Linked DNA regions of Anolis sagrei. The protein of the gene in region 2 purifies or fractionates together with the protein of the main gene of each other region. This does not show direct contact. Links are inferred from orthologs where the notes say so. Each region holds a gene or a part of one and is shown on either strand. Other genes may lie near its edges.

Region 1 (16,372 bases), on a different chromosome or scaffold from region 2:
TCTTGGCTTATGGTGAATGAGTCAGTGTCCTCTAACACTCCTGCCTGACTCCTCCAGTAACTGGGAGCAAATGAGTATACTGGGAGTCATATGTAGTTTATTCATCATAATGTACAAATTGTTTTTTCTCTAACACGCCAACAACAAACCGTGACTTATAACTTAGATCAACAACGAGAGGCAAACTAGAATTCTTGATTCACACATAACACTGAAAGGTCACAATGTCCCTGGTTTGCTTATCATGGGAAGAGGTGGGCAGCAGACATGTGGCTTTTACATGGTAAGCAAGGTTCCCCTGGAACTTTGATCTATCATTTCATCTGAACTGGCACATTATCTCCTCAGGAAAACTTTTCAGTCTCAAAACTAAGTTTTAATACATGTGAAATAGTTCATCAGCTTGAAATGTGAGCGCAATTTCAAATTATGTAAGCTAATGGTTTCAATCTTTTATAATAATTTTTATAAGAAATTACTCAGAAAATAATTTTCCTAAAATATCCTAGATATTTTGGTACCAATTTGAAAACCTAATTTGTCAAAATGGACTTTCCCCTTACGTATATGAACACACACTGTTCTGACTATCAAATTTCAGCCATTTTACACTAGTCAAATCATCACAAGAGATGAACAACAAAACAGAAGAAGTGCACTTATATATGTTATCCATCTCTTCAACAAAAGCTGATATTTGACATGTAGTGGTTTTTTTGCATTTAAGAAATTATATCTCATTCAGAGCAAAAGCAAACCTTAGTTTTGCAGGAATTTTTTAAGTGTTCTGTATAAACAGTCTTTAAAATACACATCAGTGTAGCTGCACAATGTTTAGATCTGGAGAAGCATAGTCCATGGACCACACCTTGTAAATACATTTAAAATATATTAAATAAAACCTAACCTTTGGTAAAACACATCCAATCAAAGGCAGGAAAGAACAAATAGTTCTAAAATTGAAAGCTTTTCCACAACACACAAGACTCACACATCTTGGATATCTTCCTCAACTGTATCTATTAAACACTTCCTTAAATATGTACAGGATTCCACATTGCCACCTTGGCAACAAAATTTTATGCAACATGCATGCGGTTAACGGCCTTTCAACAACAAACTGCAACCCCCTGAGGAATTTTCTGGTCTGGCAGAAAAAGGAAATGCTTATGCACTCTTGATCCATGCAGCTGGCCTTCTAGAACACAGGTTTTGGTTCTCCTGGATGTTTCTTGGACATACATCCATGCATTTCATTCATGTTTCCTTATTAACCATTGAACAAGCGTCCCTGTATCGTCAACTTGATTTTCATGTCCCGGTTGTTTTTAGAAAAAAAAACAAGAATATCATCCATCTAAAGGTTTTCCCAGATAAACTAATGTCACTTCAGTGTTGCCATACACTGCAGATACTGCTGGATACAGGCATGTCTTTGGCAGTCCTCGGAATGCAACTCCCAGGAACTCGTAGCCCCGCTCAAACGCCAATGTTTTGTCTTCCATATCCAGGATGACACGAATTCTCTCACCTATCTATAAAGCAAAAATGGAAAAGGTTGAGGGGAAAGGAATGAGACAATGATGGCCAGTATTACAGCTAACACATTTCATAAGCCCTAACAACAGATACTTACCTCTGCTCGCTGATACGTTACACTATATGTTATATTATATTACATTGTGCTTTTAAGGTATTGTATATTAATTGGTATGATTTTTCATGAGTTAATTCTTCTTTGATTGTTATAAGTTATATTGAGTTTATTCACTCTATGTTTTGTTTTGATTGTCTATTTAGTTTTGGCATTGAATGTTTGCCATTTTATTATTCCTGTAAACCACCCTAAGTCCCTTTGGGAAGAGAGAGCAGGTTATAAATAAAGTGTTGTTGTTGTTTGAATTTGAAAGGTATTTTGCTTTTCAAAACTATTCCAGCACTATTTATACTATTTATACAAGGGCTTTGTGAAGAAATTGCTGGACAGATCTGGGACGCTGTGAAGGTGAGCTGTGGATGTAACAAAAACAGAGGCCTTTTCTGAAACATACAAGGTCTGGAGTTGATGCAGAGATGTTTGGGCTTTAAAAGAATCAAATTTGGATTTAATAGACACAGAACAGTCTGTGGTAAGAGAGAACTCACACTGGTTTTGGAGGAGGCTTCAAAAAATAAAATATTCTGTTTAATGTGTTGTCATCCTGTGTTTGAAGAAACTTCAATTTGCTATTCTGCTTTTAAAACTGTTTCTTGCTATCTCTATCAAGTCTGATATAAAGTCAGGTCAGGCCTACCATAACAAACCCACAGGCCAATTCTAAGGGGTCAGCCTGAAGCTCAGGAACCCAATCTAGAAAGGGATTAGGTGGGGGAACAAGGGCAGGGTGAATAGAAATATTCAAGGAAGTGCAGTGCCAACCTGGGAAAATAATGGCACTAACTTTAACATCAGTTGGATTTCAATCTTACACACATTACCTAGGAGTATGCCCCACCGATCTCTGAGGGATGTTCTCAAATAATAATAATAGTAATAGTAATAATAAACAACTTTAATTTATACCCCACCACAATCTCCCTGAAGGGATTTGGGAGGCTCACATAAGCACTCCAGGGTGATGCACATAAAATAAATAATACATAAGCATAAAATAAACAAAACATAAGTAAACTTGCATATTGCTAAATCCTAAATAAAACATACTGGTCTGCATCCAATTTGTAGTCTTGGATAGACTAGACCCAATGAAACAATAACTGAACTGTTAAGTAAATACTGTATGTAAATTTTGTTGGTTCAGTGAGCCAACTTCAATTAGACGAACAATTGGATTGAAGTCATCATAACCAGCTAGGCAGGAATGATCAAAGACAGAAGTGTTCACAACTCCAGTAAACATTTGGAAATAGCAAAACTCACTCACCTGATATTTTGGGGCATTGTTGCATTGGGGAAAGCTGCCGTTTACTTCACCGTTATGCAACAAGTTATTGTCCACCAAATTCCAGCCCCAGCTCTGGTCGTCGCTGCCCAGGAGGGCCACATAACCTTGGCACTGCATGGGAGCCCGCTTTGTTGCAATTCCAATTACTGCTACGGTGCCGAGAGGACCTTCCCACCAGACTTCCCAGGCATGGCGGCCTTCGCTGAAGCCGATCTTTGTTCTGGCTCCATCTGTACTTTGGGCAATGGGATTCCGATGCAAAGTAAACCCATTCTTCTTAATGTAGACATTCCTAGAACAATCATTGGTGCTGAAAGCATGCTGAAAGGCACGTACCTAATATTGGGGAAGAGGGATATTGAAAAAAAGGTAAAGAATTTGAGATAAGATTGTCTAACTATGCAAAGCCTGGAAATGATACTGATGTTTACATTTATTCTCTTCATAGATAGTATCATTATTTCCTCATTTACATTGATATTTAATGGAATAAATAGTAATAGGTAAAGGTAAAGGTTTTCCCCTGACATTAAGTCCAGTCATGTCAAACTCTGGGAGCTGGTGCTCATCTCCATTTCTAAGCCGAAGAGCTGGCGTTGTCTGTAGATACCTCTAAGGTCATGTGGCCGGCTTGAATGCATGGAGCGCCATTACCTTCCCCCCAAAGCAATATCACATATGCGTGTTTTTGAACTGCTAGGTTGGCAGAAGCTGGGGCTAACAGTGGGAGCTCACCCTGCTCCGAACCGGCAACCTTTCAATCAGCAAGTTCAGCAGCTCAGCGGTTTAACCCATTGTGCCACTGGGGGTCCCCATAAATAATACTACTATTAAAGGAATAAACACTAGCTCTGTTTACTTTCCAGTCTATTGGATGACATCTTTCTCCTCTCCTCTCTCTCTCTCTCTCAATCTTAGCACTACAATTTGAACTAAGACCTAAAGGCAAAAGATTCAAAGCACAATGAAGATAAAGGGGGAGAAAATAAAAGTTTGCATTTCGAAGACTTCAAATTGATACAGAACATGAAGATAGGGGATTAATAATTTACCACCACAACCACAAAGAAGACATTAGGAAAAATATTATATTTCTCCCTAAAAGCGACAGCTCATTTGGTATCAAATTACATACTAGCTAAACAAACCGAGGGTTATAAACAGCCTGCCCAAAAGCGTATTTTAAGTATCACATAATTTGAAGTACATGTAAGATGGCAAGTTAATTAAGAGAAAACAATAACTGAAAACCCATCAACACCAGGTCTACGTATAAAAAAATCTGAATGAGGGAAATTCAGAAATGTGTTTTACTTTATGACAAGCCAACATGTGAAAGAATACCAGAGGAAAGTAACAGATATGCACAACCACAGACTTCACCATTGGCAGAACTGTATCAGTACCTCTGAGACAGAGTTCTGCCAAATATCAAGCCCTTTCAGAAAGAAAATAATGGAGCCTCCGGTGGCGCAGTGGGTTAAACCCCTGTGCTGGCAGGACTGAAGACCGATAGGTCGCAGGTTCAAATCCGGGAGAGTGCGGATGAGCTCCCTCTATCAGCTCCAGCTTCCCATGCCGGGACATGAGAGAAGCCTCCCACAAGAATGGTAAAACATCAAAACATCTGGGCGTCCCCTGGGCAACATCCTTGCAGACAGCCAATTCTCTCACACCAGAAGCAACTTGCAGTTTCTCAAGTCACTCCTGACACAAAAAAGAAAGAAAAGAAGAACCTGTCCAGAAGAAGCCAATTTTAATTTTAAAAAGAGGTCTTTCTCAAGCTTTTTGGGAAGGAGATATTTTCAGGTAAATGCCGTTTCAAAAATGATTTTGCAAACAATTGTTATTGTATATTTCATTTATTCCAAAGGACTATACTGTACTCTTCAGCCCAAAGAGGCAATCGTGTTTTTTAAAAGGACAACAGTCTTCGTACCCAGTCTTATAATCTAAAAGCCTGCATACAAAGTGAGAAAAGGGAAAAATAGGGAGGCACTGATTCATAATGTAAAATTCTTCCAGGTAAAATGGAAACAACATGGTGAGGAGTCAAAGGAAGCTGGCCTCTTAGGTCCCTTCCACACAGCTGTATAAAATCCCATATCATCTGCTTTAAACTGGGTAACATGGCAGTGTGGACTCAGATAACCCAGTTCAAAGCAGATATTGTGGATTATCTGCCTTGATATTCTGGGTTACATGGCTGTGTGGAAGGAACCTTAGAGCTGATGAAGGAGCCCTGTCTTCCTTCCACTCCATTTTGCAGCTGTTCAGAAATAAAAAATACCCCAAAATTGTCCAAATGGGTGGCTGTGATAGTCACACCTTTGCTTTCTGATGGTTCAGTGTATACAAACATTGTTTCATGCACAAAATTGTTGAAAAATATTGTGTATAAAATTAACACTGGTGATATGATGTTGTAGTATATGAAGTAGAAATGAATTTTGTGTTTAGATTTGGACTTCAGCTCCGAGATATACCATTATGTATATACAGGCAGTCCACGAGTTTCAAACATCTAACTTACAAACAACTCATAGTTACAAACAGGGGTGAGACACAGGAAGTAAAAGAAATCAACCCCTTGGAAGGGAAATTCAGTCTGGAAAGGGTTATCACGGGGGAAAGGTGTCTCCACTGAAGCTGTATCACCAATCCTTGTTTCCACAACAAGCTAATTTTTTTCAAAATCCAATTATTGCAGGGACAGAAAGTATGGTGGCATCTTCTGAACAGCAGCACAGAGAGCAAAACAAACACCTCCCTATGCTATCCAAAGCTAAAGGATAAACAGATAGATAGATATGGCTGGAGTTACACTAAAAATGTACCTGCTCTGACTTACAAACAAATTCAACTTAAGAACAATCCTACACAATCTATCTTGTTTGTAACTTGGGGATTGCCTGCATATGCAAATACTGGTACTCCAAAAACCCTTCAAAAAAAGACAATTTTTAAATCCAAATGCAACTGATTCCATACATTTTGGAGAAGGGATCCTCAGCCTGTACCTGCTTAAACTTAGCCTCCCAAATCATACACATAAAGGCTCTTGGCCCACAGCCAACAGCTGGGCGGAGGTGCCACATCTACAGAACCTGTGTTTAAGGGGTGTTTCCACACTACCGACAAGTAGGCAGGTCAGCAAGGGCGAAAGATAAGCTGCACTTCATTGAGAAGTCACAGAACAAACCCCAAATATTATTTCTATGTTTTGGGACTGCCTGAAAGCAAACCAATAGTCCACCACTGTAACTGCCATGGCACCATGGGATCTGTAGTTTTACAAGATCTTAAGTCTTCTCTGCCAAAGAGTGCTGGTGCCTCACCAAACTACAACTCCTGGGATTCCAAAACATTGAGTCCTGGCAGTTAAAGTGATTTCAAACTGCATTCGTTCTGAATTGGAGCTCTATCCTAAGAGCAATTTGGGTTATAGCCGAGTTAGACACACTTCTTTCCATTTCAACTTTCTAGTGGCTCCACTACTTTTATGAGGTATTTAGAATTATTTCTAGTCAATCACTAGATCACACCACTAGAGAGGGAGCAAGCTCATCCCTTCCTTCCTCGAAGCTGATCTTATCTTTTGCTGGATCTGTACATTTCAATTTTTTTCTGCCTAAGGATGCATCTATTTAACCTGTCTTAGCTATGTGAACACGCCAAGCTACAAACAATAACTGCTTAGAATAAATCAATTAAAATCAATAGGACACAATTAACTGAACAGTTCTTCTAAAAAAAAGACTTTAGATGCATCTGTGCTGTATATATCATTATGCCAGTTTCACCCCACTTGAACTGCCACAACTCAATCCCATAGAATCCCGTGTTGTAGTTTTACAAGGGCTCTAGTCTCCTCTGTCAAAGAAGAGCTGGCACCTCACCAAACTACAACTCCCAGGATTTCATTCTACATTGTAAAATTAGTGGAATCTTGCAGCTCTTGACCCACCATGGCTCAATGCTATGGAGCAATAAGAGTTGTAGTCTGGAGAGGCACCAGCTCTCTTTGGCAGAGAAGGCTAAAGAACTCATGAAGCAACAACTCCTGACTAGTACTGAGTCACAGCAGTTCAAATGGTGTCAAACTGCATTTGTTCTCCGGTGAAATGGCACCCTTGGGATTTGTAGTTTGGTGAGGCACCAGCACTTTTTGACAGAGGATGCTATAGACCTTGTAAAACTACAACTCCCAAATACCACTGAGCCATGACAGTTCAAGCGGTGCCCATTCATTCAATCCCAAGTGTTGATGCAACTGGGGTTCCTTCCTTCTTCCCTTCCCTCCTTCTTAACCCTTCCTTTCCTTTCCCTCCCTCCCCCTTCTCCCCTCTACTTTCCTTCCTTCATTCCCTTCTTCCCTCCCTCCCGCCTTCCCATCTCCCTTCCTTTTATCCTTCCTTCCTTCCCTTCTTCCTTCTTTCTTTCCATTCTCTCCTCCTTCCATCCATCTTTCCATCTCTCCTTCCTTTTATCCTTCCTTCCTTTCTCCCTCCTTAGATCCTCTCCTTCTTTCTTTCCTTCCTTCCTTTCCCTCCTTTCGCTCTTCTTAGTTCCTTCCCTTCCCTCCTTCTTCCCCTCCTATATCCTTCTTCTTTCTTTCCTTCTTTCCCTTCCTTTTGTCCTTCCTTCCCTTCTTCCTTTCCCTTCTCACCTCCTTCCTTCCCTTATTTCCCCCCTCCTTAGTTCCTTTCCTCCTACCATTCTTCCTTCCTTACATCCTTCCCTCTTTCTTTACTTTCCTCCTTCCTTCCCCCTGCCTTAGTTCCTTCCCTTCTTCTTTCCTTCCTTCCTTTCCTTTCTCTCTCTCTCCCATCTCCCTCATTCCCTCCCTTCCGTCCTTCCTTCTTTCCATTCTTCCTTCCCTCTGTCCTGCCTTCCCTTTCCCTTCCTTCTCTCCTCCCTTCCTTTCTTCCCTTCTTTTCCCTGTCTTAGTTCCTTCCCTCCCTTCCTTCCTTTCTTTCCCTCTCTCTCCCATCTCCCTCTTTCCCTCCCTTCCTTCTTTCCCTTCTTCCTTCTTTCCATTCTTCCTTTCTACCTTCCTTCTCTCCTCCCCCTTTTCTTTCCTTTCCTCCTTCCTTCCCTTCCCTTCACCCTCATTAGTTCCTTCCCTTCTTCTTTCCTTCCTTTCCCTCCCTCTCCCATCTTCTTTCCCTTCCTTCCTTTTCTTCTTTCTATTCTTCCTCCCTCCCTCCCTCATTAGTTCCTTCTCTTCTTCTTTCTTTCCTTTCCCTCCTTCTCCCATCCTCCTTCCCTCCCTTCCTTTTCTTCTTCCTTCTTTCTATTCTTCCTTCCTTCCCTCCTTCCTTCCTTTCCCTCTCATCAGTTTCTTCCCTTCTTCTTCTTTCCTTCCTTCCTTTCCCTCCCCCATCCTCCTTCCCTCCCTTCCTTTTCTTCTTCCTTATTTCTATTCTCCCTTCCTTCCCTCCTTCCTTCCTTCCCCCCTCATTAGTTCCTTACCTTCTTTCCTTTCCTTTCCCTCCTTCTCCCATCTCCCTCTTTCCCTTCCTTCCTTTCCTTCTTTCTATTCTTCCTTCCCTCCCTCCTTCCCTTTCCTTTCCCTCCCTCTCCCATCTCCCTCTTCCCCTTCTTTCTTTCCCTTCCTCCCTCCCTTCCTCCCTGGGCCTGACCTTGCCCTTGTAGCTGGGCACATTGCAGAGGACGTCTGTGCGGAGCGCCTCCTCGGCCAGGCTCCGGGCGGCCAAGCTCCGCCAGACCTCGCTGTTCTCGTCTCCGTGGAGGACGCGGTGCCAGAGCTTGCAGACCAGGGCGCAGCTCCGCAGCTCGCGCAGCTCCAGGTACGAGAAGACCAGCTCCAGCACGCGCCCGGGCAGACGCCAGCCGGGCCCCGCAGGACCACCACCACCAGCAGCAGCAGCAGCCGGGGCCGCGGAGCCAGCGGCGGAAGAAGGAGCAGCAGGCGCAGAAGCCGCGGTCACCGGCGCCGAACTCGGCCCGCTGCCGCCGCTCCCTCCTCCTCCTCCTCCTCCAGCCGCCGCCGCCGCCGCCATCCCTACAGCCGGCGGCCGCCCCGAGCAGAGCCGCCAAACAACGGACCAATCCGCTCCTGCCCTCAGCTGGGAGGAAGAGGCCCGTTGCTGCACCTCTTCCCCCTCGAAGCCAACAACGAAGGGCGGAAGTGTGAAGTTTCGCCCTTTAAAGCGGCTTCAGGAGATGGACCCTCTACTTGAGAGGCACAGATTGAGAGCAGCAGCGGGAGTAATTGTAATTCCCTCTTTCTCCCGCCAAAGCGACTCAGCTGAGACTTACTTCCGTTATCAATATTCGAATGATCTAGGCCTTGAAGCTGAGGCAGCCATATTAAGTAAGGGTAAATGTTATCGCCGGCTCTTATTGTATGCGCAGGACTCGCACCTGTCAGTGTTGGGAAGAGAGTCATAATAGGGTGACGTCATTTCTCCTCGCCGGAAGAGAAGGTTAGTGTGCCTTCTGTCAGAGGAAGAGAAAGGTTTGCTGTGTTGGTTTTTTTTTAGAAAGGTGTTGTTTGACTGGAGGTAAATGCTTGTCTCTTTAAGCGCGTCTGGCCTCCCTCCATTATTTGAGCTCTCGCCCCTTCCACACAGCTGTATAAAATCCCACATTATCTGCTTTGAACTGGAAAATATGGCAATGTGGACTCGGATAACCCAGGGCCCTTCCACAGCCCTATATCCCAGAATATGAAGGGAGAAAATCCCTCAATATCTGCTTTGAACTGGGTTATCTGAGTCCACACTCAGATAATGTGGGATTTCCTGCCTTGATATTCTGGAATATAGGGCTGTGTGGACTCAGATAACCCAGTTCAAAGCAGATATTGTGGGATTTTCTGTCTTGATATTCTGGGCTGTGTGGAAGGGCCCTGAATTGTATGGCAGTGGAGACTCATATAATCCAGTTCAAAGCAGGTAATGTGAAGTATTTGCTTTGATAGTCTGGATTATATGGCAGTGTAGAAGGGACCCAAGTGTCATCAAGGATTTCAAAACTTCTATGCCATCAATTCGTATCAGTTGCTCTTTTCAGCCGTAACCCATTTATTTCTTGTTGGTGATTAATAGTCTTTTATTTTGGCCTTCTCAAAGCACCATTAATGCTTCATCTCTAAGAATGTAGAAGCAGCACTTGCAGAACTCAGTAGAACTTTAGATTTTTCTTCAAATTATCTCAGTAGTAAGTTCTCTTTCTGGTGACCTTCTACACATTCCTATATTCTAGAATATCAAGGCAGAAAATCCCACAATATCTGTTTTGACTCATAGTGGAGTAACATTTTCTTATAAAATTAAATTGGCTTTAAATACTTAGGGAAGATGTAAACAACATGCCTTTCCTGTTCTTATATGTGCCACCATTTAATTTGTTGGCCCATGTGATGTTCATTATGGCAGTATAGTTAGTGTTTAAGTTTTTGTGTTTGTAATCACTAGGTGTTATCTCTTGGAGTAGCTAGTATCTTGGGATGAATATAATTTATCCACTCTTTCATACTGCCTTACTCCAACAGATAGGCATAACCATTATGTTGCTAACCAATGTCTGTTTTGTTTTCAGTATCTTAAAATACTATGGCAGAGAAGTGGAGCAGTGGACACTCTTCTTCAATACTATGTTTGAATGTGAGCAAAGATGGCCTCTTGGCATCCGGAGCAGAAGGAGGGGAACTTACAATCTGGAATGAGGAAGGGAGACCATTAGAACATGCACAGCTCCATAAAACAGATGACATCACCAGCGTAGTGTTTTCTCCCACCTTTCCAAAGAGACTGTATGCATCTCATGGGGAGACTGTTAGCGTCTTGGATACCAGATGTCTCAAGGAACCAGTAGAACATTTCCATGTAAATGAGGAAGAGATCAATTGTCTCTCAGTAAATGAAACAGACAGTTTCTTAGCTGCTGCAGATGATTCTGGAGCAATAAAGATAATTGACTTGGAAAGCAAGAAGTTAAGTCGATGCCTGAGAAGACATTCAAATATTTGTTCATCTGCAGTGTTTCGACCTCAGAGGCCTCAAAGCCTTCTTTCATGTGGCATGGATATGAAGGTGATTAGCAATATATGAAAGTTTAATGTATGTTGTATACTGGCTAAATGTGAACAGAAAGGTATTCAATATATTTTTATTTTCCAATGTATTATGTTAATATGTTTGAGAGAGTCGCATATGCCAGTAGATATAACAGACCTTCCAAACATTCCATTCTCAAGAAAGAAAGCATTATCTGTAAATTGGCAACGTGAGTGTCAATCAAGCTAAAACAAGCAAGTCATGGAAAAATGAATAATTCTCAGAAAACTGGTTACTAGATAACCCGTACTTTTCTCCTCTTGGTTTATAGTGTAGAGAGAAGTAACCCTTTTGAGATGTATCTTAGATGGTTATTCAGGAAACAGGACATCACAAGGGAAACCTTAAAATTTGTACATACAGTTTCACAAAGGTGACATTTCTCTAATGTATTCCGTATATACTCAAGTATAAGCTGAAATTTTCAGCTCTTTTTTAGACTGTAAAAGCCCCCCTCAGCTTAAATTTGTCAAAGTTATTTATTATTTTACTGTTGTTATTATTATTATATAATAGAATAGAGTAGAGTAAAATAATGTAAATGTAATAATAATAATAGAGAAAAATATTCTCTATTATTACTATATTTACATTATTTTACTCTACTCTATTATTATTACATTTGTTATTATAGCCTATCATTATTATTACATTTATTATTTTACTCTCTTTATTATTGCAAGAATACATAAACACATTTACATTTTAAAAGGTTAGAATAATGGTTTAATCAGAGTTGGATAGTCTTATCTTAAATTACAGTTTTATGTTAATATTCAAAACATTTAATGTTCTGATGCCTCAATTAATATAATTTTATTGGTATCTATTTTTATTTTGAAATTTACTATTTCCCACTCTCAGCTTATACTCAAGTCAATACATTTCCCCACGTTTTTTTGTGGTAAAATTAGGTGCCTCAGCTTATATTCGGGTCGGCTTACACTCAAGTTTATAGTTTATTCTTTACACTATAAAATAATTCTGGATTTATTTTGTTTGAAGGTCATGATGTGGAACTTGCAGAAAGCTCGCCCACTGTGGGTTGTGAACTTGCAAGAAGAGGCAGCAGATGAGCAGTCGGCTGGCCAGCTCTTTAACCCACCCCTGGTCCATTCTCTATCAGTGTCTATTTGTGGCAATATTTTTGGTTGTGGAGCTGAAGATGGAAAAATCAGAATCTTCCGGGTAGTTGGTTCTAAGTTTGAACAGGAGATGGCATTTAAGGGCCACTCCTTAGGAGTGTCACAGGTTTACTTTTTACCAGAATCCTACCAGTTCATTACAGGAGGAAATGACGGCAAAGTTTTATTGTGGGACATCAGCAATGAAGTAAGAAAGCTGAAGAGTCCAGTCAAGTCCATCCCCAGAAGGAAGACTAAGATGTCAAATACCAAGACAGTTGATAAATCAGACACAGAGCTTACAAGTGGCTCTGTGGGCTTTTCACCCAAACTAACCATTGAGCATGGAGAGAAAGTGAACTGGATTTCATTCACAGAGATTAAAGGTTCTAGGAGAGTATTGGTTGCCGATCAGTCTAGCAGTATATCTGTCTATCCTATTACTGAGTCTTAAACATATCTAACTAGATAACTGACTCCTTGGTATACAGGGATTACCTGTTTAGGACTTTTTTTGGAAGCACCATCTTTATTACCTCAAATAAATAATTTAAAATAGTTGATAAACCCAATTCATTCTATCGGTAATGGGATTCCTTGGGTTAAACCTGGTATGATTGTACTGACGAACTGGCAGTACAAACTTTTGGTTATAAATATATGTAAATATCTTTGCCTTGATAAAAAAGAAGACAAAGCCTGCACATCTTTGCACCCGTTGTAAGCCTGAAAACTTTTCATATACCTATGCCTAAAGTGGCTGACTTCCACAGAAATAATTCTATTTTACTTAGATACTATCTGCCTTTCTAATGTCCAGAGCTTGAACAAAACTTATACAGATTGCATCCACGTGTAGATTGTTTCCTCAATGTGTACTGGAAATAAAACTATTCTAAGTTCCTAAATAATTTTATCTATTCATAGACTTGGCTTCTTCAAACACTATTTGTTTGGTTAGAATTGATGACTTCTCTAAGGAGATTTGCATTAAATTTCACTTGGTGCTGTTGAAACAACTATTTACTTATTAGATACCCATATTTGCTTGAGTTTTATGCACCGTCAAAACTGTCAAAACCCTGAAACTAAAAAATGTATTTACTGCTCAATGTAATGCACAGTAGCCTAAAGTGTACTCTTTGTAATTTGGCCAAAAAAGATACGCATTATGGTTTCTGCCTGTTGAGAATTCCTTCATTGTAAACAATTGTGCTGGAACACCAAAGCTTCCAGCAATGGAAAAGAAAACCTTGGAGTGCATCTATGCTGTAAAATGAATCCACTTTAACTGCCTTGGTTCAATGCCATAGAATCCTTGGGACTGTAGTTTGACGTTTTGAGCCTTCACTGCCCAATAATGCTGGTGCTTTACCAAACTATAAATCCCAGGATTACATAGCATTGAGCCCTGGCCATTTAATTAGAGATGGTGTTCCTCAAAGGGGAGCTCCAGATACAGCTCCTGAAGCTTCCCCTTTTGCTTTTGCTCAGCACTAAAATTACTAATGAGCACCCCCAATGTTGCCAAGGTCAATTTGCCAAAAAGGTGAGCATTAAATTGGAGTAAATACAGTAGTTGAAGCTTAAACTATAATTTTACTCCACATTTTGAAAATAAATGAATGTTTTATGCTCAGAGTGCTGCACTTTCAAGATTTTGTCCATAAGAATACTGATCTTTCAAGCAAGCAACTGTTTTGTTATTCTATTTATCCATTTTGCTTATTGAATGTATAGTCTGCCTTTCTAGCAAAGTAAGATCCAATACAGCTAACAACAATTTAAAAGGAATAACATTAAAACATCAAATTACAAAAATTATGAATAAATTAAATAATTAATATTCTTAACATGATCCTTACAATTAAAACATTTTAAAAATATTTTAAGGCATAATACTAATAAGTACAAAGGATTAAAGCAGTGTTTCCCAACCTTTTTTTGACCAGGGACCAGTCTCCAACATTAGTACCAACAGGGTTACGAATCCGTTTTTGGTCAACTTTAGATTTGGTTTGGTTATTTGGGGTGCTGATTCAGAAAATGGCATTGGATAGACCACATCAGCTCTAGTTTCTGATACAGAGCATATGCCATCCAGTAGTCGCCATCTGCTCGTCCACAGAAAACCATATTTAATAATCTAGAGCTGATGTAGTAGTGATATTTTGTGGGTAGTCAGCATCTCCTTTCCCGACATTCCCATTGCCTTGGCACTATAAGAGGGCTTTTCAAGACCAGTTGCTCTCGTTGCCGTGTGGTTTTGAGGCAACGGTGTAGTAATAGTACCACAGACCATATTTTTATTCTTATGGACCACTGGTGGTCCACGGACCACAGGTTGGGAACCACTGGATTAAAGCATTGAAACAGCGCACCAATTCCATATACAAACTACAATTAAAATTTACTGTTCAAATGCCTGCCTGAATAATAATGTTTTCACCTGCCACTGAAAAGAGAGCAGGGAGGGGCCAACCCCGACCTCAGTTAGAAGGAATCAACTATGGAAAAAACTCTTGATCCACATATGCCCTTCTTTGTATATAAATTAAAGGAAATTTAGGAAATTAAAGTAACCAATTGATGAGACTTTATTTGAGATCCAAGGAAGTTTGCAAACATACCTAAAAACACTTGACACTAAAGTCTATTTTGTATAATACAAAAAGTTTCGGGATTTATTGTTTTGACAGAATAGCAAAGAGAAGGTATATATTGGAACTTGAAAAATAAATAAATATGCTACTCATGATACCCAAAATAGCAAAGTCAACTTTTGAAGGATTTATGCTCACTCTAACTGCTAACTACAGTTTAAAATACATTTCCAGGTGGGGTTTGGAGGGCAGTAGCTAATGGTAGTCAGTATTTCAGAGCAAATAACAACTGGTATATTGCAAACTTAAAATGAAGTCCTGTGCTGTACAGGAGGCAATACTCTCAATTGGGATTTTGTTAACCCTTTAAGGTTCACAATGGAGTCTGGCAGTAAAGTGAGCTCAGAAGTGTATTTAACACTGCAGCATTGGTGGGCTCCTGTTTGGAAATCTAGGATTCCATCCAAAACAAGCAGTTTAAACAATTTTTTCAAAAATATGCAGTGGCAGCAATTGAGCAACAAGAAACTATGACTTGTACAAACTTGCAAATAATGAACAAGCACTATTAGCAAATATGACACTTTGTATCATATTCCAGTGTTCTAGCTCTCATCAATTAATCTATCGAAACATTTTAGAACGTGGCTCAGAATGTGTTGTACTGTAAATGTTTAATTTAACTTTACTGGGGGGGGGGGGGGGGGGGGACAGAACGGGACAAAAAAGTAGTGCCAGTCTCTGGAACACTGGGAAAAAATACCATAATTGCTGGGCCCTACATCAGATAGTTTGAGAACCACTAATCTATTGAACCTGCCACAAGCACCTTAATATTAATCTAATGTACTGGTACCTTAATCAAACACTAGCTAAAGGTTACAGCACAATGTTAAATACATTTTAGAAGTAAGTCTCAACCAAGTTCAATACAGTTTGATCCTGACAGATATTTGTCTGATTGAAACCTAATACAGTAATACAATAGAGTCTCGCTTATCCATTCTTCACTCATACAATGTTCTATATTATGCAACACAGTCTGCTTCCCGCTCAGATCCACAGCTGTTTCAATATATTGTGATGTTTTGGTGCTAAATTCATAAATACAGTAATTACTACATAACGTTACTGTGTATTGAACTGCTTTTTCTCTTGGTTTGTTGTAAAACATGATGTTTTGGTGCTTAGTTTGTAAAATCATAACATAAATTGAAGTTTAATAGGCTTTTCCTTAATCTCTCCTTATGATCCAACATTTTCGCTTATCCAACGTTCTGCCAGTCCGTTTACATTGGATAAGCGAGACTCCACTGTAGTCCCAAATAGAATAGACCTGTTGAAGCATGAGTTTAACATTTATGCAAATCCCATTTAATTAGTTGGAACTTTAATATAATTCAAACCATCGTGTACTTTTGCATGAAAGAAAATCATATTTATTTCAGATGTTGCAACAGAAACCTGTCGCAGCTGACCAATTACATTCTAGTAAATAATGTGCTTGTAGGCACGTGTTAATATGCTATACTTGGATGTCCTGTCTATAAAAAGCTTGAAGTGAAAATTGACCTTCAATTCATGTTGTACCTTCTGTGTGTATGGCCACTGCC
Region 2 (16,437 bases):
GCCTGGTAGTGCCTGGGGCAATCTTTTGTTGAGAGGTGATTAGATGTCCCTGATTGTTTTCCCTCTGTTGTTTTGCTGTTGTATTTTTAAGAGTTTTTTTATACTGGTAGCCAGATTTTGTTCATTTTCATGGTTTCCTCCTTTCTGTTGAAATTGTCCACATGCTTGTGGATTTCAATGGCTTCTCTGTATAGTCTGACATGGTGGTTGTGAGAGTGGTCCAGCATTTCTGTGTTCTCAAATAATTTGCTGTGTCCAGGTTGGTTCATCAGGTGCTCTGCTATGGCTGACTTCTCTGGCTGAAGTAGTCTGCAGTGCCTTTCATGTTCCTTGATTTGTGTTTGGGCAATGCTGCGTTTGGTGGTCCCTATGTAGACTTGTTCCACTGCTGAACGGCCCTCACTGTCAGGAAGTTCTTCCTAATGTTCAAGTAGAATTTCCTTCCCTGTAGTTTGAAGCCATTGTTCTGCGTCCTAGTCTCCAGGGCAGCATGACCTCCTCTCACATATTTATACATGGCTTGTCAAGTTAATTGGGATTAGGTTCTTGTGGGTTTTTTCGGGCTATAGAGCCATGTTCTAGAGGCATTTCTCCTGACGTTTCGCCTGCATCTATGGCAAGCATCCTCAGAGGTAGTGAGGTCTGTTGGAATTAGGACAATGGGTTTATATATCTGTGGAATGGCTGGGGTGGGGCAAGGAGCTCTTCCCTGCTGCAGTTAGGTGTGAATGTTTCAGCTGATCACCTTCATTAGCATTTGAAGGCCTGCCTGAGCCTGGGAAAATCTCTTGCTGGGAGGTGTTAATCTGTGCCTGGTTGTTTCCTCTCTGTTGTTTTGCTGTTGTAATTTTAGAGTTTTTTAATACTGGTAGCCAGATTTTGTTCATTTTCATGGTCTCTTCCTTTCTGATGAAATTGTCCACATGCTTGTGGATTTCAATGGCTTCTCTGTGTAGTCTGACATGGTGGTTGTTGGTGTGGTCCAGCATTTCTGTGTTCTCATATAATATGCTGTGTCCAGGCTGGCTCATCAGGTGCTCTGCTATGGCTGACTTCTCTGGTTGAAGTAGTCTGCAGTGCCTTTCATGTTCCTTGATTTGTGTTTGGGCAATGCTGCGTTTGGTGGTCCCTATGTAGACTTGTCCACAGCTGCATGGTATACGGTAGACTCCTGCAGAGGTGAGAGGATCCCTCTTGTCCTTTGCTGAACGTAGCATTTGTTGGATTTTCTTGGTGGGTTTGTAGATTGTTTGTATGTTGTGTTTCCTCATCAGCTTCCCTATGCGGTCAGTGGTTCCCTTGATGTATGGCAGGAACACTTTTACTCTGGGTGGATCTTCATCTTTACTCTCGTGGTTTGTTCTTGGTCTTGATGTCTGAGGTGGAGTCTCCATTGGCCTGGAGAGCCCAGTTGAGGTGGTTCAGTTCATCTTGGAGGAGGTGGGGTTCGCAGATTCTTTTTGCACGGTCTGCCAAGGCTTTAATGGTGCTTCTTTTTTGACTTGGGTGATGGTTGGAGTTTTTATCTAGATATCTATCTGTGTGTGGGGGTTTTCTGTAGACGGTGTGACCCAATTGTTGACCTGGTTTGCGGATGACTAGGACATCTTCCTTCATTTTCTTTTTCCATGGTGAACTGGATTTTTGGGTGGATGCTGTTAAGATGGTCCAGGAACCTGTTGAGTTCTTCTTCTCCATGGCTCCAAATGGTGAAGGTGTCATCCATATATCTGAACCATATCGTGGGCTTTTTGGTTGCTGTCTCCAGGGCTTGTTCTTCAAAGTGTTCCATGTAGAAGTTAGCTATGACCGGGCTGAGAGGGCTCCCCATAGCTACTCCATCTTTCTGTTCGTAGAATTCATTGTCCCACTGAAAGTAACTGGTGGTGAGGCAATGGTGAAACAGAGCTGTGATGTCTTCTGGGAACCTCTGGTTGATGAGTGCCATGGTGTCTGCTACCGGGACCATGGTAAATAGAGATACCACATCGAAGCTGATCAGTTTGTCGTTGGTATTTAGCTTGAGATTGCTGATTTTTTCTATGAAGTGGGCTGAGTCCTTGATGTAGTGTGTAGTGAGCTCAATATGGCTTTGTAACTGTGCAGCAAGAAATTTTGCTAGGTCTTATGTGGGGGATCCAATGGCACTCACGATGGGTCTGAGTGGTGTGGAGTCCTTATGGATTTTTGGGAGTCCTGGGTGGATGGGCTTCCAATTTACATAGCTGTTGTCATATGTCAAAGTTTATTGAGGAGTTCTTAATCAGAGTGTTGGTTTTCCTGGTTATTTTGGCAGTTGGGTCTTGCTTCAGTTTTTTGTATATAGTAGGGTCCAGGAGTTTTCTGATCTTCTCCTTGTATTGTTCTGTATGCATGATTACTGTGGCATTCCCCTTGTCTGCTGGCATAATGAGGGTATCAGGATCTGAATTCAGTTCTCTGATGGCTTGTCTTTCCTTCCTAGTGATGTTACTGGAGGGAAGTTTTGCCTTTTTCAGGATCCTTGCTGTTTCTGCTCGTACTTCTTCTGCTTCCTCCTCGGGGAGGCGATAAATTGCTGATTCAACATTGACAATGATGTTTTCTACTGGGATCCTGGTGGCGGTTAAAGCAAAGTTTCCTCCTTTCGCTAGTATGGATACTTGGTCTTCAGAGAGTTGTCTGTCTGTCAGGTTGATGATGGTCCGTGATGTATCCAGTTCTGGTTTCGGCTGTTGCTTTTGGCGTTTGTGGAATTTTTGTTGGGATTGTGGAATTTTTGTTGTTAATTGGGATTGTTGTTGTTGTGTGCCTTCAGGTTTTTCCAGACTTAGTGCAACCCTAATGTTTAAGACATGGGTTTAGTAAATAATATTGGAGGTCCGCATCCAGCCTGCGGGACTTACTTTGGGGATCTAGGCAGTAGAGAAAACCCCAGATCTGAGTCAGTCCTGTAGCATCATAGAATCATAGAATCATAGGGTTGGAAGAGACCTCATGGGCCATCCCTCCAACCCCCTGCCAAGAAGCAGGAAAATTGCATTCAAAGCACCCCCAACAGAGGACCATCCAGCCTCTGTTTAAGAGCTTCCAAAGAAGGAGCCTCTACCACACTCCAGGGCAGAGAGTTCCACTGCTGAACAGCTCTCACAGTCAGGAAGTTCTTCCTAATGTTCAGATGGAATTTCCTTTCTTGTAGTTTCTTGTAGTTTGAAGCCATTGTTCCGTGTCCTAGTCTCCAGAGCAGAAGAAAACAAGTTCCAATCCAACCCCCTGCCAAGAAGCAGGAAAATTGCATTCAAAGCACTCCCAACAGATGGCCATCCAGCCTCTGTTTAAAAGCTTCCAAAGAAGGAGCCTCCACCACACTCCAGGGCAGAGAGTTCCACTGCTGAACAGCTCTCACAGTCAGTAAGTTCTTCCTAATGTTCAGATGGAATCTCCTTTCTTGTAGTTTGAAGCTATTGTTGGCAGACAGTCCTTGAGAAATAGAGGCTGTTTCCAGGACTGAAGACACATGTCCAGGCCTTTTATTGTAAGGAAAGATGCGGACTGGCCCTCAGGAGCAAACATAAATCAATTTTTAACATGCAAAACTTGTGCATTATTTATCATTCTGTGCCTTTCTCCATCTAGCAAACGGGTGCAGAATTTCGTCTCTGGCTGTGTTCAAAGATACCAAAGGAATCCTACCAACAGGATTGTTTTTCCAAGCAGCTGGGCTGTATTTAGAAAGTGAAAATAAAGGAGAGCAGCAAGACATTCTCCCCTAGGAATCTTTGCTGTCTCTGTTGTTTTTGTAGTCACGCAATTGGGTCCCCTTCCTCTTATTTCCTTTTTTTAAAATTTGTCTTTCCTATTTTTGTCTCATGGATTTCTCAATGAATGAGATGCTTAACTTAAGCATCTGCCACAACTGCACAGTAGAAAAGTTACAAAGGCAAATGAATTGTAGCAACAAACAGGCTGTGAAGTGAAGGAGACTACTCATTTCCTATTGTCAACCACAAAGCCATTTCAGCACCTACAGCTGTGGACAGCAAACACGCTAACACTTCCTGCCAAGTGAAAGCATGCAAACAGCCATCAGGACGATCATTTCCTACAGACGCCAAAGATACATGTGCACAGGTAGTTATTAGTAGAATCACGATGTTACTACCATATATATTTTCAATTGTAAGATGCCAATGATTGTAAGACACATCCTAATCAGTACAACCACCTCCTCTAAAAAATTATACTGTCTAGCACCACCTGACATCCACTGGGAAGTAGCAGCCAATAGTGAAAGGACCAAGGCAGTGACATCTCCAGCTCATCCCTTGTTTGGGTATCCGCCAACACGTTGACAACTTAAATCAAGAAATAGTTTTCTAAGATCTACAGAGACACTCGCTGGAACACCTCAGCAAGCGAGAGTCCAAAAGTGGCAGGCTCAAACCCAGAACCTCAATCAATGGCTGATACCAAATGAGAGACTCCCTCCTGGGCACACAGAGGACTGGGCGACTTGGAAGGCGCTGAACAGACTGCGCTCTGGCACCACGAGATGCAGAACCAACCTTAAGAAATGGGGCTACAAAGTGGAATCCACGACATGCGAGTGTGGAGAAGAGCAAACCACTGACCACCTGCTGCAATGCAACCTGAGCCCTGCTGCACGCATTTTCTTATAGTAACACCAGAGACACTCCAAGTGGTCAGCTACTGGTCAAAGGACATTTAATCAACTACCAAGCTTGCAAACTTTGTGTTTTGTCTGTTTGTTTGTTTGTTTGTTTGTTTGTTTGTTTTGTTAAAAATGTAATACAACTGTCTGGTTGCTCCTGACATGATAAATAAATAAATAAATAAATAATTCTTTGTTGTAGGTTTTTTGGGCTATATGGCCATGGTCTTAAGGCATTCCCTCCTGACGTTTCACCTGCATCTATGGCAAGCATCCTCAGAGGTAGTGAGGTCTGTTGGAACTAGGAAAAATGGTTTATATGTCTGTGGAATGACCAGGAAAGCCTTTGACAATCTATATAAATAAAAATGTAATGTTCGTTTGTGATATTAACAGAACTCAAAAACCACTTGGACACAAGACACCTAACAACCAAATGTATGCCCTTCACTCAAAAAAATTGCTTTTTCCATTTGGGAGTTGTAGTTGCTGGGAATTATAGTTCACCTACAATTAAAAAGCATTTTGAACCCCATCAATGATAGAATTGAACCAAACTTGCACACAGTTCTCCCATGACCAACAGAAAATACTGAAAGGGTTTGGTGGGCACTGTCCTTTGGTTTTGGAGTTGTCGTTTTCCTACATCCAAAGATCACTGTGGACTCAAACACTGATGGATCTGGACCAAACTCTACACAAATACTCAATATGTCCAAATGTGAACACTGGTGGAGTTTGGGGAAAATAGAATCTTGGCATTTGGGAGTTGTAGTTGCTGGGATTTGTAGTTCACCTACAGTCAAAGAGCATTCTGAACCCCACCAATGATAGAATTGAGCACTGTGGACTCAAATACTGATGGATCTGGACCAAACTCTACACAAATACTCAATATGTCCAAATGTGAACACTGGTGGAGTTTGGGGAAAATAGAATCTTGGCATTTGGGAGTTGTAGTTGCTGGGATTTGTAGTTCACCTACAGTCAAAGAGCATTCTGAAGCCCACCAAGGATAGAATTGAACCAAACTTGCACACAGTTCTCCCTTGACCAACAGAAAATACTGGAGGTGTTTGATGGGCAGTGTCCTTTGGTTTTGGAGTTGTAGTTCCCCTACATCCAGAGACCACTGTGGACTCAAACACTGATGGATCTGGACCAAACTCTACACAAATACTCAATATGTCCAAATGTGAACACTGGTGGAGTTTGGGGAAAATAGAATCTTGGCATTTGGGAGTTGTAGTTGCTGGGATTTGTAGTTCACCTACAGTCAAAGAGCATTCTGAACCCCACCAATGATAGAATTGAGCACTGTGGACTCAAATACTGATGGATCTGGACCAAACTCTACACGAATACTCAATATGCCCAAATGAGAACACTGGTGGAGTTTGGGGAAAATAGAATCTTGGCATTTGGGAGTTGTAGTTGCTGGGATTTATAGTTCACGTACAATCACAGAGCATTCTGAACCCCACCAATGATAGAATTGAGCACTGTGGACTCAAACACTGATGGATCTGGACCAAACTCTACACGAATACTCAATGTGCCCAAATGTGAACACTGGTGCAGTTTGGGGAAAATAGAATCTTGGCATTTGGGAGTTGTAGTTGCTGGGATTTGTAGTTCACCTACAGTCAAAGAGCATTCTGAACCCCACCAATGATAGAATTGAGCATTGTGGACTCAAACACTGATGGATCTGGACCAAACTCTACACGAATACTCAATATGCCCAAATGAGAACACTGGTGGAGTTTGGGGAAAATAGAATCTTGACATTTGGGAGTTGTAGTTGCTGGTATTTATAGTTCACTTACAATCACAGAGCATTCTGAACTCCACCAATGATAGAATTGGGCCAAACCTCCCACACAGAACCCCCATAACCACAGCAACGCATGGCAGGGGATGGCTAGTACAGTAATAATGAAGGTGGGCCTCTCCATTGCCCAAGCAAGCCATTCCTGATTCCAGTAGCCAATGGGCCAACCTCTCCCCAAGGGGAAGGCTGCCACCCTCTTCCAGATGCCCTCCACTACACAGGCTGGCATCCCTTCTGCTGCAGCTTCCTTCTGCTGCCATTTTCATCCCTCTTCCTCCTCCAAGGTAGCCCTCCCCGCCTGAAACATCACAAGCACCCCTCCCTCTTGAGGTTCTCTCTGCCCTTTTCCTTGTCCCGCGATGGCTCCGCGCCAAACCCTTCCTCCCTGCTGCAGCGATCCAGGCCTCTCCTCTCCCCCCCCCCCCACGCCCCCATCAATCACTCCTCTCTTCTATCCCTTGGCCTTTCCGATCCTTTCTTTCCCATCCTTTCCTCTCCTTCCATCCTTATGGGCGGTGGACTCACCAAACATCTGGATGTGGCCCTTGGTGACTGGGTTGAAGCTGCCGCAGGCCAGCAGGATGACGTGGGTCTTGGTGGTCTCTGTCATGGCTCCTTTCCCTGAAAAGGCGGGTGTCGATAGGTTTGGGGGGGGGGGTCTTTGTCGGAGCGCTTTCTGGGAAGCTCTCCGGCGCGCCTTGCTTCTTTTTGTGTGTGTTTCTCGGTGCGCCTGCAGAAAGAGGGAGGGAGAGAGGGAGGGAGGGGGCGAGGACGCCAATGACGTCACTGGCTCCCTAACACCCCCCCCCCCCTCTTTAACGCCTTCATTGCCAGGAAGGGAAAAACAGAGGGGAGGGTTATATTCATAGAATCATAGAATCAAAGAGTTGGAAGAGACCTCATGGGCCATCCAATCCAACCCCATTCTGCCAAGAAGCAGGAATATTGCATTCAAATCACCCCTGACAGATGGCCATCCAGCCTCTGCTTAAAAGCTTCCAAAGAAGGAGCCTCCACCACACTCCGGGGCAGAGAGTTCCACTGCTGAACGGCTCTCACAGTCAGGAAGTTCTTCCTCATGTTCAGATGGAATCTCCTCTCTTGTAGTTTGAAGCCATTGTTCCACGTCCTAGTCTCCAAGGAAGCAGAAAACAAGCTTGCTCCCTCCTCCCTGTGACTTCCTCTCACATATTTATACATGGCTATCATATCTCCTCTCAGCCTTCTCTTCTTCAGGCTAAACATGCCCAGCTCCTTAAGCCGCTCCTCATAGGGCTTGTTCTCCAGACCCTTGATCATTTTAGTCGCCCTCCTCTGGACACATTCCAGCTTGTCAATATCTCTCTTGAATTGTGATGCCCAGAATTGGACACAATATTCCAGGTGTGGTCTAACCAGAGCAGAATAGAGCGGTAGCATGACTTCCCTGGATCTAGTCACTAGACTCCTATTGATGCACGCCAAAATCCCATTGGCTTTTTTTGCCACCACATCACATTGTTGGCTCATGTTTAACTTGTTGTCCACGAGGACTCCAAGATTTTTTCACACGTACTGCTCTCGAGCCAGGCATTGTCCCCCATTCTGTATCTTTGCATTTCGTTTTTCCTGCCAAAGTGGAGTATCTTGCATTTGTCCCCATTGAACTTCATTTTGTTAGTTTTGGCTCATCTCTCTAATCTGTTAAGATCATTTTGAATCCTGCTGCTGTCCTCTGGAGTATTAGCTATCCCTCCCAATTTGGTGTCGTCTGCAAACTTGATGATCATGCCTTCTAGTCCGTCATCTAAGTCATTAATAAAGATGTTGAACAGGACCGGGCCCAGGACGGAACCCTGCGGCACTCCACTCGTCACTTCTTTCCAAGATGAAGAGGAAGCATTGGTGAGCACCCTCTGGGTTGCTCACTAACAGGGACTCCGGGTGGGCATCATCATCATTACTTACCCGCCTCTTCTCAAGGCTTCAGCAATCTCAGCAATCCCCAAACCATCTAAAACACAGACATGTGCCTTTCATCTCAAGAACAGACAAGCACCCCGAGCTCTGAGGATTACCTGGGAAGGAATCCCACTGGAGCATTGCAACACACCCAAGTACCTGGGAGTCACTCTGGACCGTGCTCTCACCTAGAAGAAGCACTGCCCAAACATCAAGCAAAAAGTGGGTGCTAGAAACAATATCATACGAAAGCTGACTGGCACAACCTGGGGAACACAACCAGACACAGTGAAGACATCTGCCCTTGCGCTGTGCTATTCTGCTGCTGAGTATGTATGCCCAGTGTGGAACACATCTCACCACACTAAAACAGTGGATGTGGCTCTTAATGAGACATGCCGCATTATCACGGGGTGTCTGCGCCCTACACCACTGGAGAAATTACACTGCTTAGCCGGTATTGCACCACCTGACATCCGCCGGGAAGTGGCAGCCAATAGTGAAAGGACCAAGGCAATGACATCTCCAGCTCATCACCTGTTTGGGTATCAGCCAGCACGTCAACGACTTAAATCCAGACATAGTTTTCTAAGATCTACAGAGACACTCGCTGGAACGCCTCAGCAAGCAAGAGTCCAAAAGTGGCAGGCTCAAACCCAGAACCTCAAGCAATGGCTGATACCAAAGGAGAGACTCCCCACTGGCCACACAGAAGACTGGGCGACTTGGAAGGCGCTGAACAGACTGCGCTCTGGCACCACGAGATGCAGAGCCAACCTTCAGGAACAAAGTGGAATCCTCGGCATGTGAGTGTGGAGAAGAACAAACCACTGACCACCTGCTGCAATGCACCCTGAGCCCTGCCACATGCACAATGGAGGACCTTCTTGCAGCAACACCAGAAGCACTCCAAGTGGCCAGATACTGGTCAAAGGACATTTAATCAACTACCAAACTCACAATTCTGTATTTTGTCTGTTCTTTTTGCTTTGTTCTGTTAGAAATGTAATATAATCGACTGGTTGCACTGACACGATAAATAAATAAATAAATAAATAAATAGCAATCTCAGCTGACCAAGGATGGGTACAGAAGGATGTCCCAGCAGAGCTACACCTGCCTGCATCCTGGGATCCACCCCATCTCTCTCTATATCCCCAACTATAGAAATATATAAACACAGATACAAAGGTACAGCAGAGATGGCAACCCCAACCCTGTCTGTATCCCTATCTATAGCAAGAAAGAAACACCCATCTATCTTCTATATAAATAAAAATGTAATGTTAGTTCGTGCTACCATCAGAACTCAAAAACCACTGGGGGAATTGACACCAAATTTGGACACAAGACACAAGGGAGTTGGACTGGATGGCTTTCGGTTGTTGTAGGTTTTTCCGGGCTATATGGCCATGTTCTGGAGGCAATTTTTCTCCTGACGTTTCGCCTGCATCAATGGCAAGCATCCTCAGAGGTAGTGAGGTCTGTTGGAAGTAGGAAAAATTGGTTTATATATCTGTGGAATGACCAGGGTGGGACAAAGGACATTTGTTTGCTGGGGCTAGCTGTGAATGTTTCAGCTGATCACCTTGATTTGCATTCAATGGCTTGGTAGCGCCTGGGGGGAATCTTTTGTTGAGAGTGGTTTGATGTGCCTGTTTGTTTCCCCTCTGTTGTTTTGCTGCTGTAATTTTTGAGTTTTTTTAATACTGGTAGCCAGATTTTGTTCATTTTCATGGTTTCTTCCTTTCTGTTGAAATTGTCCACATGCTTGTGGATTTCAATGGCTTCTCTGTGTAGTCTGACATGGTGGTTGTGCAAGTGGTCCAGCACTTCTGTGTTCTCAAATAATATGCTGTGTCCAGGTTGGTTCATCAGGTGCTCTGCTATGGCTGACTTCTCTGGTTGAAGTAGTCTGCAGTGCCATTCATGTTCCTTGATTCGTGTCTGGGCGCTGCGTTTGGTGGTCCCTATGTAGACTTGTCCACAGCTGCATGGTACACGGTAGACTCCTGCAGATGGATGGCCTTATTTTCTGTTGGTCATGGGGGTTCTGTGTGGGACGTTTGCCCCAATTCTGTTGTTGGTGAGGTTCAGAATGCTCTTTGATTGTAGGTGAACTATAAATCCCAGTGACTACAGCTCACAAATGTCAAGGTTTGTTTTCCCCAAACTCCATCTGTGTTCATATTTGGGCGTATTGAGTACTTGTGCCAAGTTTGGTCCAGATCCATCATTGTTTGAGTCCACAGTGATCTCTGGATGAAGGTGAACTACAACTCCCAAACTCAAGGTCAATGCTCACCAAACCCTTCTAGTGTTGTCTGTTGGTCATGGGAGTACTGTGTGCCAAGTTTGGTTCAATTCCATCGTTGGTGGAGTTCAGAATGCTCTTTGATTGTAGGTGAACTCTAAATCCCAGCAACTACAACTCTCAAATGATGAAATCAATTTTTTTGAGTGAAGGACATACATTGGGTTGTTAGGTGTCTTGTGTCCAAAATTGGTGTCAATTCCTCCAGTGGTTTTTGAGTTCTGTTAATCCCACAAATGAACATTACATTTTTATTTATATAGATGATTCTAATTGTTGGGTGGAAAGCAGGAAACACTTTTGATCCACCTGTTTATGGAAACAAGCACAAAGGAACCAGAATACCGCTAAAACCTGGCCAAAATGTGGCAACTCAAATCAGGGGACAGAAAAACTTGCCATGGAGGCAGCCGAAGGTACCCAGCAATTACACTTTTTGCTGCTCTTCCCTCTTATGGCTTCTCCTACAGCATACATCATACATGACAGGTTTTCCCAGGGCTTATGCTGGGAATGGATGGAGATGGGTTCCTAAGCTTTAAAGCCACTTTAGACATGGAAATCACACTCTCTCCTCCTTCTCCATTAACCCATTGCTCATCTTTATATTTCCCTCCCAACCTGAAGACCTGGGGAAACACAGCTATTCCCTGAAATTTCTATTGGCACTATTAAACCAAACCAACCTAAATTCTAACATTGGCTTATGCTGTGAAGGAGGTGAATGCTTTTGCAAGTGTGTATTAACATAGCCCATAAGGGGAAGCTGCTTCCGCAAACAGAACCATGTTTTAACCCACTGCTGTTTTTTTTTTATGGTGCCCAGAGGTTTTTCCATCAACCAAAGATCCCATACACATTTCCACTAGTTCTCCATTGAAAAATCTGTCATTTTCTCATTCGTGGCAGTTTCCAATCTTGTGATAGCTTTCAAATTTATGGTTGTTTTTTATTATTATTATTATTTCCAGCATTTGGGGATTTTTGAATTTAGATGGTAAAATTATCTTAATTAGGTTGGAAAGTGTCCAGAGGAGGGCGACTAAAATGATCAGGGGTCTGGAGAACAAGCCCTATGAGGAGCGGCTTAAAGAGCTGGGCATGTCTAGCCTGAAGAAGAGAAGGCTGAGAGGAGATATGATAGCCATGTATAAATATGTGAGAGGAAGTCACAGGGAGGAGGGAGCAAGCTTGTTTTCTGCTGCCCTGGAGACTAGGACGCGGAACAATGTCTTCAAACTACAAGAAAGGAGATTCCATCTCAACATTAGGAAGAATTTCCTGACTGTGAGAGCCGTTCAGCAGTGGAACTCTCTGCCCCAGAGTGTGGTGGAGGCTCCTCCTTTGGAAGCTTTTAAACAGAGCCTAGATGGCCATCTGTCAGGGGTGCTTTGAATACAGTATTCCTGTTTCTTGGCAGGGGGGTTGGACTGGATGGCCCATGAGGTCTCTTCCAACTCTATGATCTAGGATTCTAGGAATCTATGGTCAAATGGAAAAACATCCCTGACTGTCCCTGATTCTTCCCATTTCTTTCAACCATAAGCTTTTCAGGGCAGGGCTGCTACGAGGGGTATTTTTAAAGTATGGTCTGTTTTATTGTAGACATTAGTAGTTCGGGCGCATACCGCAACGAGTGCATGCGTCGTGTACCGGCATGCCTCGGGAAAAACTGTGCTCAGTTTCTGCTCTGTAGCTAACCTCTACGGTTCTGTTCTGTGCTTGAAAAATATTTAAGACTATCAACTCACCCTCCGCATGTGAGGTTCGCTCAGTGATACGGTTTTTGTCAGCAAGGAACCTGCCTGCTGCAGAAATTCATCGACAGATTTGTGAAGTGTACGGTGATACTGTTCTGAGTGAAAGCAAAGTGCGTAAGTGGGTACGACAATTCAATGATGGCCGTGACAACGTCCATGATGAGGACCGCTCCGGTTGCCCTTCTTTGATTTCAGACTATTTGATTTGATCGCACACTCAAATCTTTGGTTTTTGTGGTCCTCTGTTAGGAGTTTTGGGACCCAACAGGAGCACAGTTTCCTAAACTTTTGGTGTTCAGAAACAGTGTTGTAAAGCACTGATCTCGACACGTAAGGAAATTCGTTTTCAGCGACCTGTTATTGTGAAGCGCCTGTTCTCACGAATCCTCGCTTCAACTGAAGCCACCAAATCATCTGTAATCAAAGAAGGGCGACCTGAGCACAGTTGTTCCCGAGGCATGCCGGTACACGACGCACATGCTCGTTGAGGTATGCACACGAACTACTAGTATTTACAACAAAATGGACCATCACGGAGACCTGGTTGGATGAAGCTGGAGGAGTAAATCTGACCCAGCTTTGTCCTCCGGGTTTCTCCGTGCAGCACCAACCTAGATCCGGAGGGCGGGGAGGCGGGGTCGCAGTGGTCTATAGGGATTCCATCCATCTGACCAGGTGCCCCATCCCGCAGACCGCAAATTTCGAAAGCGTCTACCTGAGGGTGGGTGACCGGGACAGTATAGGGATTCTAGTAGTGTACCGTCCACCTCGCTGCACTACAGTCTCCCTACCTGAGCTAGCGGGGGTGGTCTCGAGCCTGGCATTGAAGTCTCAACGGCTTCTTGTGCTGGGAGACTTCAACGTCCATGCCGAGACGACCCTCACAGGCGCGGCTCAGGACTTCATGTCTGCCATGGCAACCATGGGGCTGTCCCAACAAATATCTGGCCCCACCCACTGTGCTGGACACACATTGGATTTGGTTTTCTGCCAGGGATGGGAACAGGGTGGCGGTGTGGAGGAGTTGTCCATCTCTCCGTTGCCATGGACCGACCACTTCCTGATCAGATTTAGGCTCACTGCGCCCCCTAACCTCTGCAAAGGTGGAGGATCCATTAAGATGGTCCGCCCCAGGAGACTGATGGATCCGAATGGCTTCCTGATGGCTCTTGGGGATTTTCCCGCCACCTCGGTAGGTGACCATGTCGAAGCCTTGGTGGCTCTCTGGAATGGGGAGATGACCAGGGCTATTGACATGATTGCTCCGGAACTTCCCTCTCAAGTAGCCGAGCTAAACCAGCCCCTTGGTTTACTGAGGAGCTGGCAGCTATGAAGCGAAGGAAGAGGGAACTAGAGAGCGTGTGGCGTTCGGAACCGAGCGAGTCAAACCGAGCACGGTTTGTGTCCTTTCTTAGGGCATATGCCGCGGCAATAAAGACCGCAAAGAAAACTTTCTTTGCGGCCACTATTGCGTCTGCAAAGAACCGTCCGGCGGAGCTGTTTCGGATTGTCAGAGGTCTTTTAACTCCCGCCTCTGCAGGTGGGAGCCCTGACAATTCGGCCGCGCGCTGTGAAGCATTTGCTCGGTTCTTCGCAGACAAAGTCGCCTTGATCCGTTCTGGGCTGGACGCCGCGTTAGATGCAGACTCTGTGGATGTAACGAGAGCACCTGCTTGTCCTATTTTGTTGGATTCTTTTCAGTTTGTGAAACCCGAAGATGTGGACAAGATACTTGGAGGAATGAGGCCCACCACGTCCATCCTAGACCCCTGCCCATCCTGGCTTCTGAGAGAGGCCAGAGGGGGATTGGCCGAGTGGGTAACAGTGGTGGTGAATGCCTCCCTTCGGGAAGGCAAGATTCCAGCGAGCCTAAAACAGGCTATTATAAAGCCGCTGTTGAAGAAGCCATCACTGGACCCCACTAAATTGGACAACTTTCGGCCTGTTTCCAATCTCCCCTTTTTGGGCAAAGTCATGGAAAGCGTGGTGGCCTCACAACTCCAGGTATTCTTGAGAGACACGGATTATCTGGATCCGGCACAGTCTGGTTTCAGACCGGGGCATGGTACCGAGACGGTCTTGGTCGCCTTAGTGGATGATCTGCGCCGGGAGCTAGACAGGGGGAGTGTGTCCCTGTTGGTGCTCCTGGACCTCTCAGCGGCCTTCGATACCATCGACCACGGTATCCTTCTGGGGCGCCTTGCGGAAATGGGTCTTGGGGGCATTGCTTTGCAGTGGCTCCGGTCATTTCTGGAGGGCCGCACCCAGAAGGTGTTATTGGGGGACTCCTGTTCCGCACCACAACCGTTGACTTGTGGGGTGCCACAGGGTTCCATACTGTCCCCCATGCTGTTTAACATCTACATGAAGCCGCTGGGTGAGATCATCCGGAGTTTCGGGGTGCGGTGTCATCTGTACGCAGATGATGTCCAACTCTGTCACTCCTTCCCACCTGCTACTAAGGAGGCTGTCGAGGTCCTGAACCGGTGCCTGGCCGCTGTAACGGTCTGGATGAGGGCGAACAAACTGAAACTAAATCCAGACAAGACAGAGGTACTCCTGGTCAGTCGCAAGGCCGAACGGGATATAGGGTTACAGCCTGTGCTGGACGGGGTCGCACTCCCCTTGAAGGCGCAGGTTCGCAGCTTGGGTGTGACCCTGGACTCATCGTTGAGCCTGGACCCCCAGGTTTCAGCGGTGACCAGGGGAGCATTTGCACAGCTTAGGCTCGTGCGCCAGCTGCGCCCGTATCTCGGGAAGTCTGACTTGGCCACGGTGGTACACGCTCTTGTCACATCCCGCCTGGATTACTGCAACGCTCTCTACGTGGGGCTGCCCTTGAAGACGGCCCGGAAGCTTCAGCTGGTCCAGCGTGCGGCAGCCATGTTACTAACTGGAGCGGGTAGCAGGGAGCACACAACGCCCTTGTTGTCCCAGCTCCACTGGCTGCCGATTTGCTACCGGACCCAATTCAAGGTGCTGGTCTTGGCCTACAAAGCCCTAAACGGTTCCGGCCCAAAATACCTTTCTGACCGCATCTTGGCCTACGAGCCCACGAGGACCTTGAGATCGTCTGGGGAGGCCCTTCTCTCGATCCCGCCTGCATCACAGGCACGGCTGGCGGGGACGAGGGAGAGGGCCTTCTCGGTGGTGGCCCCCCGGCTGTGGAACACTCTCCCAGCACACATCAGACAGGCGCCCTCCCTCATGTCCTTTCGAAAAAGCCTTAAGACCTGGCTGTTCGAGAGGGCATTTAATTAAGTGCTAAGCAACAACATTACGGTAATGAGAACTGGAATGGTATAAGGAAGATGAGACTGGCTATGATTCTACTAAGAGACGAAGCGGATTTTTATGTAGTTTGTATTTGTCGTATAGTTATATGTTGTTGATACTGGCCTTTGTAACTGTCTTTTTATGTGTACTGTACACCGCCATGAGTCGCCCGTAAGGGCTGAGAATGGCGGTTAATAAGTGCATCAAATAAATAAATAAATAAACTTACTTAAAAAATACCCCTTGTACTTGTGTTACTTATTATAGTCACCACATACATCAGGGATCCTCAAACTTTTTAAACAGAGGGCCAGGCTACAGTCCCTCAAACTGTTGAAGGGCTGGATTATAATTTGAAGAAAAAAAATGAATTTCTATGCACACTGTACATATCTTATTTGTAGTGGACACTAAGATCTTCCGGGGAGGCCCTGCTCTCGGTCCCGCCTGCGTCACAGGCACGGTTGGCGGGGACGAGAGACAGGGCCTTCTCGGTGGTGGCCCCTCGGCTATGGAATGCCCTACCCATTGACATCAGACAGGCCCCTTCGCTGCTGGCGTTTCGGAAGAAGGTTAAGACCTGGCTCTTTGAGCAAGCGTTTGGCTGATCAGTGCAAGTGAACATAGGAAGACGGTATAATTGAACATAGGAATGGCTCAA

The links.
Region 1: the proteins of NMNAT2 (region 2) and FBXO45 purify together in Homo sapiens (co-immunoprecipitation; 3 studies listed by BioGRID and IntAct, with this or other methods). This does not show direct contact. The link is inferred for Anolis sagrei from reciprocal best matches to the Homo sapiens genes NMNAT2 and FBXO45.

What each region holds. Positions count from the first base shown.
Region 1 is NC_090023.1:226,405,456-226,421,827, forward strand, and holds the start of FBXO45 (F-box/SPRY domain-containing protein 1), read right to left. Parts: upstream 9,057-16,372; 5' UTR 8,972-9,056; coding exon 8,591-8,971; intron 3,282-8,590; coding exon 2,925-3,281; intron 1,536-2,924; coding exon 1,350-1,535; 3' UTR 1-1,349. Other genes in the region: WDR53 (WD repeat-containing protein 53), read left to right, coding at 10,529-11,008, 12,038-12,610; SMCO1 (single-pass membrane and coiled-coil domain-containing protein 1), read left to right, coding at 16,361-16,372. UniProt on the Homo sapiens protein: Component of E3 ubiquitin ligase complex consisting of FBXO45, MYCBP2 and SKP1. Functions in substrate recognition but also plays an important role in assembly of the complex.
Region 2 is NC_090024.1:122,633,200-122,649,636, reverse strand, and holds the start of NMNAT2 (nicotinamide/nicotinic acid mononucleotide adenylyltransferase 2), read right to left. Parts: upstream 7,248-16,437; 5' UTR 7,096-7,247; coding exon 7,011-7,095; intron 1-7,010.